Linked DNA regions of Caenorhabditis elegans. The protein of the gene in region 2 purifies or fractionates together with the protein of the main gene of each other region. This does not show direct contact. Each region holds a gene or a part of one and is shown on either strand. Other genes may lie near its edges. The genes, in order: R119.3 and nhr-18.

Region 1 (3,922 bases), on a different chromosome or scaffold from region 2:
TCCAGAAGCATGATCCCATACAGCACCAGTTCCGTCTCCTTCAATCATTCCAGACACCACACTATTCACGCGGACTCCTTGTTTCGCGGCACTCTGAGCTACGGATTTTGTAAGTGATAGGACACTGCTAGATGCAACTGAGTAGAGACCCATATCGATTGATGGAGTGAAGCCGAAACATGACGTTAGGTAGATGATACTGCCGTTTCTGGAAAAAATCGATTTTTTTTGGACGGGAAATTTTGCCTGCCTACGTGCCTACCTGCCGGCCTATTTTAGCCTATTTTTCATTTTTTTTTTGTTGTTCTATTTTTTTGCCGTTTTTTGGGAATTTCATGATTTCTAGGGTAGGCACGACTTCATGCCTACGTGCCTATCTACCGGCCTAACATTTGATATTTTTTTAGAATTCCATGATTTCTAGGTAGGCAGGTAGGCACGAATACATGCCTGCCTACCGCCTGTTTTTTTGAAATTTTTTTGTGTGAAAAATTAAAATTCATGGGAATGCTTTTTTTTTCAAAATTCAATGATTTTTAATGCAGACCGCGCCTATCTGCCTACCGCCTATTTTTGGCATTTTTTGTGTGCAAAACAAAATCAAATTAGCTTTTTTCTTTTCGTTTTTCTACGATTTTTTCCAAATTTCAAGATTTTTCGGATAGGCACGACTTCCCACCTACTGTGCCTACCTACCTACCGCCTATTTTCGGCATTTTTTGTGAGCAAAAAGAGATCAAATTAGCTTTTTCTCCTGTTTTCTACGATTTTTTTGGGTAGGCACGACTCCATGCCTACCGTACCTACCTACCTACCTCCTATTTTCGGCATTTTTTCTCGTGCAAAAAATCATATTTATGAAAACACTATTATTTTTGTTTTCTGAATTTTTTTTCCAAATTTTGTGATTTCTAGGGTAGGCACCGACTTCATGCCTACGTGCCTACCTACCTACCGCCTATTCTCGGCATTTTTGTGAGCAAAAAATTAACATTCTTGAAAATCCTTTTTTTGTTTTACTACAATTTTTTCAAGTTGCATGATCTCTAGGGTAGGCACGATTTCATGCCTACTTGCCTATCTACCTATTTTTCCCTTTTTTCGTGGTTTAGGTAGGCAGGCATGAGTCAGGCACGAAAATCTAGAAACATAATTTTGATTCTATCGGTAAAATAGGCTTTCAAGACAGTTTGAATTTTTCGAATTTCTACCAGCAAAAAATAATATCTGAAATTTTCGCGGCGAGACCCAAAAACTGACTGAGATTTGGCGAGCGTCGACATAGCGGCTTGCGAAAGACGGAACGGTGTTGTCAGATTGTTGGCGAAAAGCTGAAATTGGTTTTTCGAGGTCAATTTTCCACGTGGAATTCAAATTTCAGCACTCTCGAACCTTATCAAAATCCTCGCCGGATGTCTCAATAATCTCGCCGAGCACCTCATTCTGTGGTGGAACTATAATTAAAGTGTCCAGACCGCCGAGCTTCTCAGCCACTTTCGTGATCAGCTCCTTCCTGTGCTCGGCATTTGCCACGTCTAATGAGAAAGCTGTGACGTCACCTCCAACCTGAATTTATTCCCGAATTTCTCTTTGTCAAGTTCTGAAAATCTGCCTAAACCTTTATATTGTCCTCTGCAACCTTTCCCACACTATTCGGACAGTCTGCGGCGGCGGCGACCTTGTAGCCGGTGAACGCGAGTCTTCTCACGACGGCTTTACCCAGTGTGGACGTTGCCCCGATTACAAGTGCACATGACATTACGCTGAAAGCCCGATGAGGAGGCATATTTATAGATACACCTAGACATCAGGTACATTTATTTGGAAATCCGTAGAAAATAAAGAACATGTGAAAATAAAACAGATCATTTTATTATTTAGAGGGGAGAGGGAGGGGGAGCAAAGTCGCTGACTGAGAACTTTCGAAAACCGGTTAGTTACTCCAGTTGTACGGCTTATTCATGCCATATTTTCCAAGATTTCCACCATTGTGTTGGTATTGAGAATGTTGATTCTGCTGAGCTGCCGGCTTCGATCCAGACATCTTGTCGTAACTCTTGCGCTCGTCATCCTGTCCGTAGAGTTGACGACCTCCAGCGCTGCTTCCAACATTGGGCATCATGTTCATGAATGGAGTAAACTGGTGTGGAGCAGGTGAGTACTGCTGCATGAACAACGACGACAAGTTTGGCTGCTGCATGTAGTTCGTCGCCTGGAACCCTGGTGGTGGTCCAACATTCGACGCCTGCTGTGGCTGCTGATCCCGAGAGCTTTGAGATCCGAACTTATTGAAGTCCATAAGTCCATGAGTCTCTCGTTGTTGACCAGATTGCACTTGTTGCGCAGAAGCAGCCTGTGACAGAGGAGCAGTTGGAAGCAAGCTTGTAAGATCAACTCCCATTCCGTATTGCATAAGAGCAGCAGTATATTGCTCATCTCGAACTCCTGGCATTGGATTGTACATGTTCATGTAGTTGTTCATGTATGGTGCATATGGGAGTTGTTGAGTGAACATCATATGTGGATGCTGTTGTGGATGTCCAGTCGGTTGTGATTGAGCTGGTGGAGTTTGTTGCTGCTGCTGCACTGGCTGTTGTGGGGCTTGTTGCTGCTGCTGCTGTGGCTGGTGCTGCTGAGCAGATTGCTGTGTTGGAAGTGGTCCAGAATTGTTGAACTTGTTCGGCGCCATCCTGTCCGTTGGTTGATATGAAGCGGACGAAGTGTCATAGGACAATCCTCTGTTAGATTGACCATATGACAATGGAGGTGAAGTCGATTTTAAGTTGTAATCGCCGTTAGGAATTGACGTCCTTTCTGGCTGAAAAATAATCGAGAATTAGAATAAATCGTCTTTGCAACAAATTTAACTCACCTCAACTTGTTTCGGCATAATACGAGAAGAGTTAAATATATTTTCACTGGCATTTGAGATCGAGGCAGCGGAGGATTCAGTAGAAGGAAGCTGTGGGCTTGGAGCAGCCTCAACAAATCCAAATGAGTAGTCATGAATGTTCGTTGGTGCAGTTGTGCCAACAAATTCCACTCCAGGATCAGGAATAATCTGGACTGGTGCTGCACTTGGAATTGGAGATAATCCTAGTCCTGGTGCTTCACTCAATCCTATTCCAAGATCCGTCTTCAGTTGAGTGGTCCATGCTTGATTTGGTTCTGGGGTGCTTTGTACATTTTCATCGTGATGAGTCGACACATTAGGCGTCTGCTCCTCAGCCAAAACTGATGATTCACTGAAAATTAAATTTTTAATAATCTAAATACAGGGACAGAACAACTTACTTTTGGAAGAAACCATCTTCTTTCTCCGGCTGATGCGAAGTTTCTGGCTCGAAAAATACTGGCGCTGCTGCTGGCTCTTCTTTAACTGGTGCAACTGACGGAAGTGGAGGTTGTGGGGAGAGACTCCTCCTTGGCGGAGCTGCTGGTTGAGGATTCTGTGCCTGGTGCTTTCGGAGTGCTTCTTTGCGATGGGCAGCTGCTGCTACTGCAGCAAATGAGATCGGTGCCGGCGCAGAAGATGTGGGAACAGTGGCGGTGACGGATTCCTCTACTGGTGGTTGAACTTCGGTGACTGTGGTATCCACTTTAGTCTGATTCTGAAAAAAAAACACGTTTCGTCATTTTCCTTCTTCAAAAAATTCTTACCTCATCAAGATCAGCAGTGAACGCATCTGGCTCAAGTGCTGATGATGGAGCAACAGCTCGAGAATATCCACCTCTGGCGCCACCTCTTCCACCTCGTCCAACATACGGTTTTTCAAATCCTCCTCGAGTCGAGCGTGGTGCTGCTCCTTCCTTATTATCACGGTTATCCCGATTATTATCTCGGCTTTCTCTTGGAGCTCCATTGGATCGCCCGCGGCCTCCTCGATCGACGAAACCGGTGCCTCCACCTGAAAAAAACATA
Region 2 (3,922 bases):
AGCGTTGGTTTAAAAACTAACTTTTTATTTTCAAAACTTGCACAATTTCCTCTGGGACAATGGGCCTTTTTTGGGCTCCAAAGTGCAGCTCTTCTGAATTTAAAACTTTTTTCAGAAAAATTGAAACAGTAACAAGAAAACCTGAAAAATGCCGCACATGCTCGACAACTCAGCACACCAAAATGTTTGCCAGAAGTGTTCTGACCGCAAATTTTGCAGGGTCCCGAAAGGAATAAAGATGCGGGCATCTGGAATATATATAGGGCAGTAATTGGCTAAAAATCCAATTCAGATATATAAAATGGTACATAAACGACCATAAATACATAACATTGAGAATTTGAGGTTATGTAAACTTTTTATGTCGCTTCAAACATCTCTGGGTGAGAAAAATCAATTTTCATAATATTAAACACGTCGGCAATTTGTTTCTTCTCAATTCGAATCCTTATATCTGCCTCCAACGTCCTTGTGATTCTCATCAACTGCGTCAGTCGTGACGAATAATTTGCCAACTTCAATTTCTCCACATAATATTTATGCAAGTTGTTTGCCTGAACTTGCACTAAATTTTCAGTAGCATCCAGTGCATCTCCATGTAATCGTTTTCCTGCGTGCTCCAGAGAAAGATGTAGGAGCATGTAACTGACTTCAATGCTGCTGGGATTCAAATCGATCATATCCTGTATCGACTGTTGGAAGTTTTTCTTACCATTCGGTGTTTGAAAAAAGCTGGAAACATCTATTAGGACTCAACGCAACAACAAGGCAACACTCACTATTTCAGCTGCTCCAACGAATAATTCGTGCACCAAGATAAATCAATCTCGAAGTTGTTCATATTCATACATGCACCATTACCGACCATCAACTGCGATTTACCGAGCATTTTGTTAATCTGCTTGTTAGCCGTTTCCGATAGCTTATCCAACCGTGTCCAGGAGAACCAACATGACTTTACAATTTCCAACTGAATACAATTTTCTTTTAATTAACTTTAGACAGTAAAAATAAAATTCTATTATAGAACTCACCTTCAAACGTTCATTCAATTCTCTGAATTCTGAAAAATTGGAAAACCATTCCACAACTCGAAGAAATCCCTGTTCCCAAGATTTCAAAGTTTCTACTTTTCCATATTTTTCGATAAATTTTACTTCCTTGTTCGATTCGACACATCGCATGTTGTCGAGCGTTGTGGCCAGTTGTTCAAGACTGTTTGAGGGCAAAACATGGTTTGTTGGCTGAAACGCTACCTTGAATTCTTTTCAAAAAAATTATATGCAGAGCGGGAGTTGGGTACAGTAGGCCTTTCACGAGGGCGCTCGCCCCACGCCATAGCCTTTCCCATGCGCATAACTATTATAATACCGCGCCGGACTCTGCAGCGTCAGCTGCAGTACACAAGGTGTACTGCGCGGTGTACACTTTTCATGCCTCGCCGAAAGTCTGACCATGGATACGGGGGGCTTGAAATCGTGACCTCAAGATTGCTAGCTGCGACCACTACCGTCTGAACCATTCCAGCTCCTCTGCACCACCTGCTATTTTCTGATTTTTGCATACCTTCTGCAACATGTCCCTTGCGATATTCACTAAACGAGTAACGTCTATTGTTGTCTTCAACACTGATGCTCTGTCTGGCTCGCAGCACAAAATGAACTCGGGTCGACCGAGAAATGTGGCCAAAGACTGAGAAATAGCAGAACACGAAATAAGGTCTCGATCTGTCTGGAATCCTGAAATCAAACGTATAGTGATTTTTAAACATTGAACTTTTGACTCACTTCTAGTATCCATGCCTACATCTAAACACTTTTTTAGTCGGCATTGTTTGCAGTTGAATCTGCAAATTATTAATTTTTAAAATTTGCTGTAAAACTTGAAAAAAAATTTCCTTACTTTCCATTAACGCTAGTATGACAGGTTCCGTTTGGGCATATCCTCTTTTCTAGGTTCCATGTTGCTGCTCTTCTGTAAATTTTGTTCTTAAATAATTATTTTACAAAAGCTGCAAACCTGAAAAATGCGGCACAAGCCCGACAACTCATTACTCCAAAGTGTCTTCCGGAAGTTTTGTCCCCGCAAACTTCACAGGATCCCGAGAGGAATAACGGTGCGGGCATCTGAATAATATTTCGAAAGAAAATAATTTTTTTTGCGCTGAAATTCAAATAATTACATTAAATATTCAAAGTGTTATATTATACATATGAGTACACTTTCGTTGATAAAGTAAAAAATTAACAAAAAAACGGTTAGCTTTCAATTTTTATGCAGAGGATCTTAAGTCGTTTCAAACATTTCTGGATGGGAAAACTGAATTTTGAAAATATTAAAAACATCTGCAACTTTCTTCTTTTCAATTCGAAGTCTCATGTCTGCCTCCAAAGTCCTAGTTATCTTCATCAATTGTGTCAATCTTGACGAGTAATTTGACAACTTCAATTTCTTCGCGTAATAATCATGCAATTGATTTGCCTGGGCTTGAACTAAACTTTCAGTAGCCTCCAGTATATCTCCCTGCAATCTTTTTCCCGCGTGCTCCAGAGAAAGCTGCAGGAGCATGTAGCTGATTTCAGTGCTACTTGGGTTGAGATCAACCATATCTTGTATCAACTGACGGTAGTTCTTCTCGTCGTCCGGGGTGAGGAAAAAACTGAAAATCCGATTTTAAGATTTGTGAGTGATACGCATAGCCCGACATTTAACGGGTTAGTGTTTTGGAACCCGGTAGATGTCGCTCAGAACTCACAAGGCCAATTGCTCCAACGAATAATTCGTACACCATGATAAATCAACTTCATAATCATTCATATGCATGCAAGAATCATTTCCAACCATCAAAAGCGAGTTGTCGAGAGTTGCGTTCACCCGTTTGTTAGCAGTTTCCGATAGCTTATCCAACCGGATCCATGAGACCCAGCAAGTTTTTAAAATTTCCATCTGAAAAAAAATACAAAAAAGTTAGTAACCTTATATGCTAAAAGTTAAGAACCTTTAAGTTCTCATCCAGTTCCCGAAATTCTGAAAAATTGGAGAACCACTCCACCGCTCGGAGAAACCCTTGTTCCCAGGTTTTGAGAGATTCGTTCTTTCCAAGCTTCTTGATAATTTGTGTTTCTTTGTTCAACTTCATTCCTCGCATATTTTCAAGTGTAGTAGAAAGTTGTTCAAGGCTGTTAGACAAAGGGCATTGACATGGATCCTGAATATATAGAAAAATGCCCGGGCGACGTGTGACACAGGTGCCCCACCCCCATTTTTTTCAGAAACGACCGCTAGACCGCTAGATGTCGGACGCTACACACTCACCTTTAATTTCACATGTTTTCTCGTTTTTGCCTACCTTTTCGAGCAGATTCTTTGCCATATCTACTAAATACGTAACATCTATTGTAGTTTTGAAAACTGAAGCTTTGTCTGGCTCGCAGCACAAAATGAACTCGGGGCGTCCTAGAAAATTGCAAAGGGACTGAGGAACTGAGCAGGAAGATATCAAGTCCCGATTTGTTTGGAATTCTGAAATTTTTTGGTGTATTTTTTTACTGTTTGGGAACTTGCTAGCTTACTTTTAGAGTCCATGCCGACTTCTACGCACTTTTTAAGTCGACACTGTTTGCAATTGAATCTGCAAAAAGCAACTTTTTCTTTCAATTTCCAAAATCTAGCCTCACTTTCCATCCTCAAAAATTTTACAGGTCCCTTTCACGCATTGTACTTTTTTCCGGCTCCATGTTGCTGATCTCCTGAAATGGCAGAGTTTTGAAAAAATCCTGAAAATCTGATAACCTGAAAAAAGCTGCACAAGACCTACAACTCAACACTCCAAAGTGTCTTCCAGAAGTTTTTTGACCACAAATCTCACAGGGACCCGAGAGGAATAAAGGTGCGGGCATCTGAATATGGGAGACCAAAATTA

Evidence for each region.
Region 1: the proteins of nhr-18 (region 2) and R119.3 fractionate together in Caenorhabditis elegans (co-fractionation; one large-scale study listed by BioGRID). This does not show direct contact.

The regions. Positions count from the first base shown.
Region 1 is NC_003279.8:377,311-381,232, forward strand, and holds the start of R119.3 (DeHydrogenases, Short chain), read right to left. Parts: upstream 1,764-3,922; 5' UTR 1,760-1,763; coding exon 1,619-1,759; intron 1,567-1,618; coding exon 1,393-1,566; intron 1,332-1,392; coding exon 1,261-1,331; intron 209-1,260; coding exon 1-208. Other genes in the region: Prion-like (glutamine/asparagine-rich) domain bearing protein pqn-59, read right to left, coding at 1,934-2,818, 2,873-3,245, 3,295-3,611, 3,661-3,908.
Region 2 is NC_003283.11:2,225,407-2,229,328, reverse strand, and holds nhr-18 (Nuclear hormone receptor family member nhr-18), read right to left. Parts: upstream 2,127-3,922; coding exon 2,020-2,126; intron 1,975-2,019; coding exon 1,903-1,974; intron 1,847-1,902; coding exon 1,788-1,846; intron 1,740-1,787; coding exon 1,567-1,739; intron 1,245-1,566; coding exon 1,035-1,244; intron 971-1,034; coding exon 780-970; intron 733-779; coding exon 360-732; 3' UTR 352-359; downstream 1-351. Other genes in the region: nhr-126 (Nuclear Hormone Receptor family), read right to left, coding at 22-93, 142-248; Nuclear hormone receptor family member nhr-103, read right to left, coding at 2,287-2,659, 2,756-2,946, 2,999-3,208, 3,350-3,522, 3,573-3,631, 3,678-3,749, 3,793-3,899. UniProt on the Caenorhabditis elegans protein: Orphan nuclear receptor.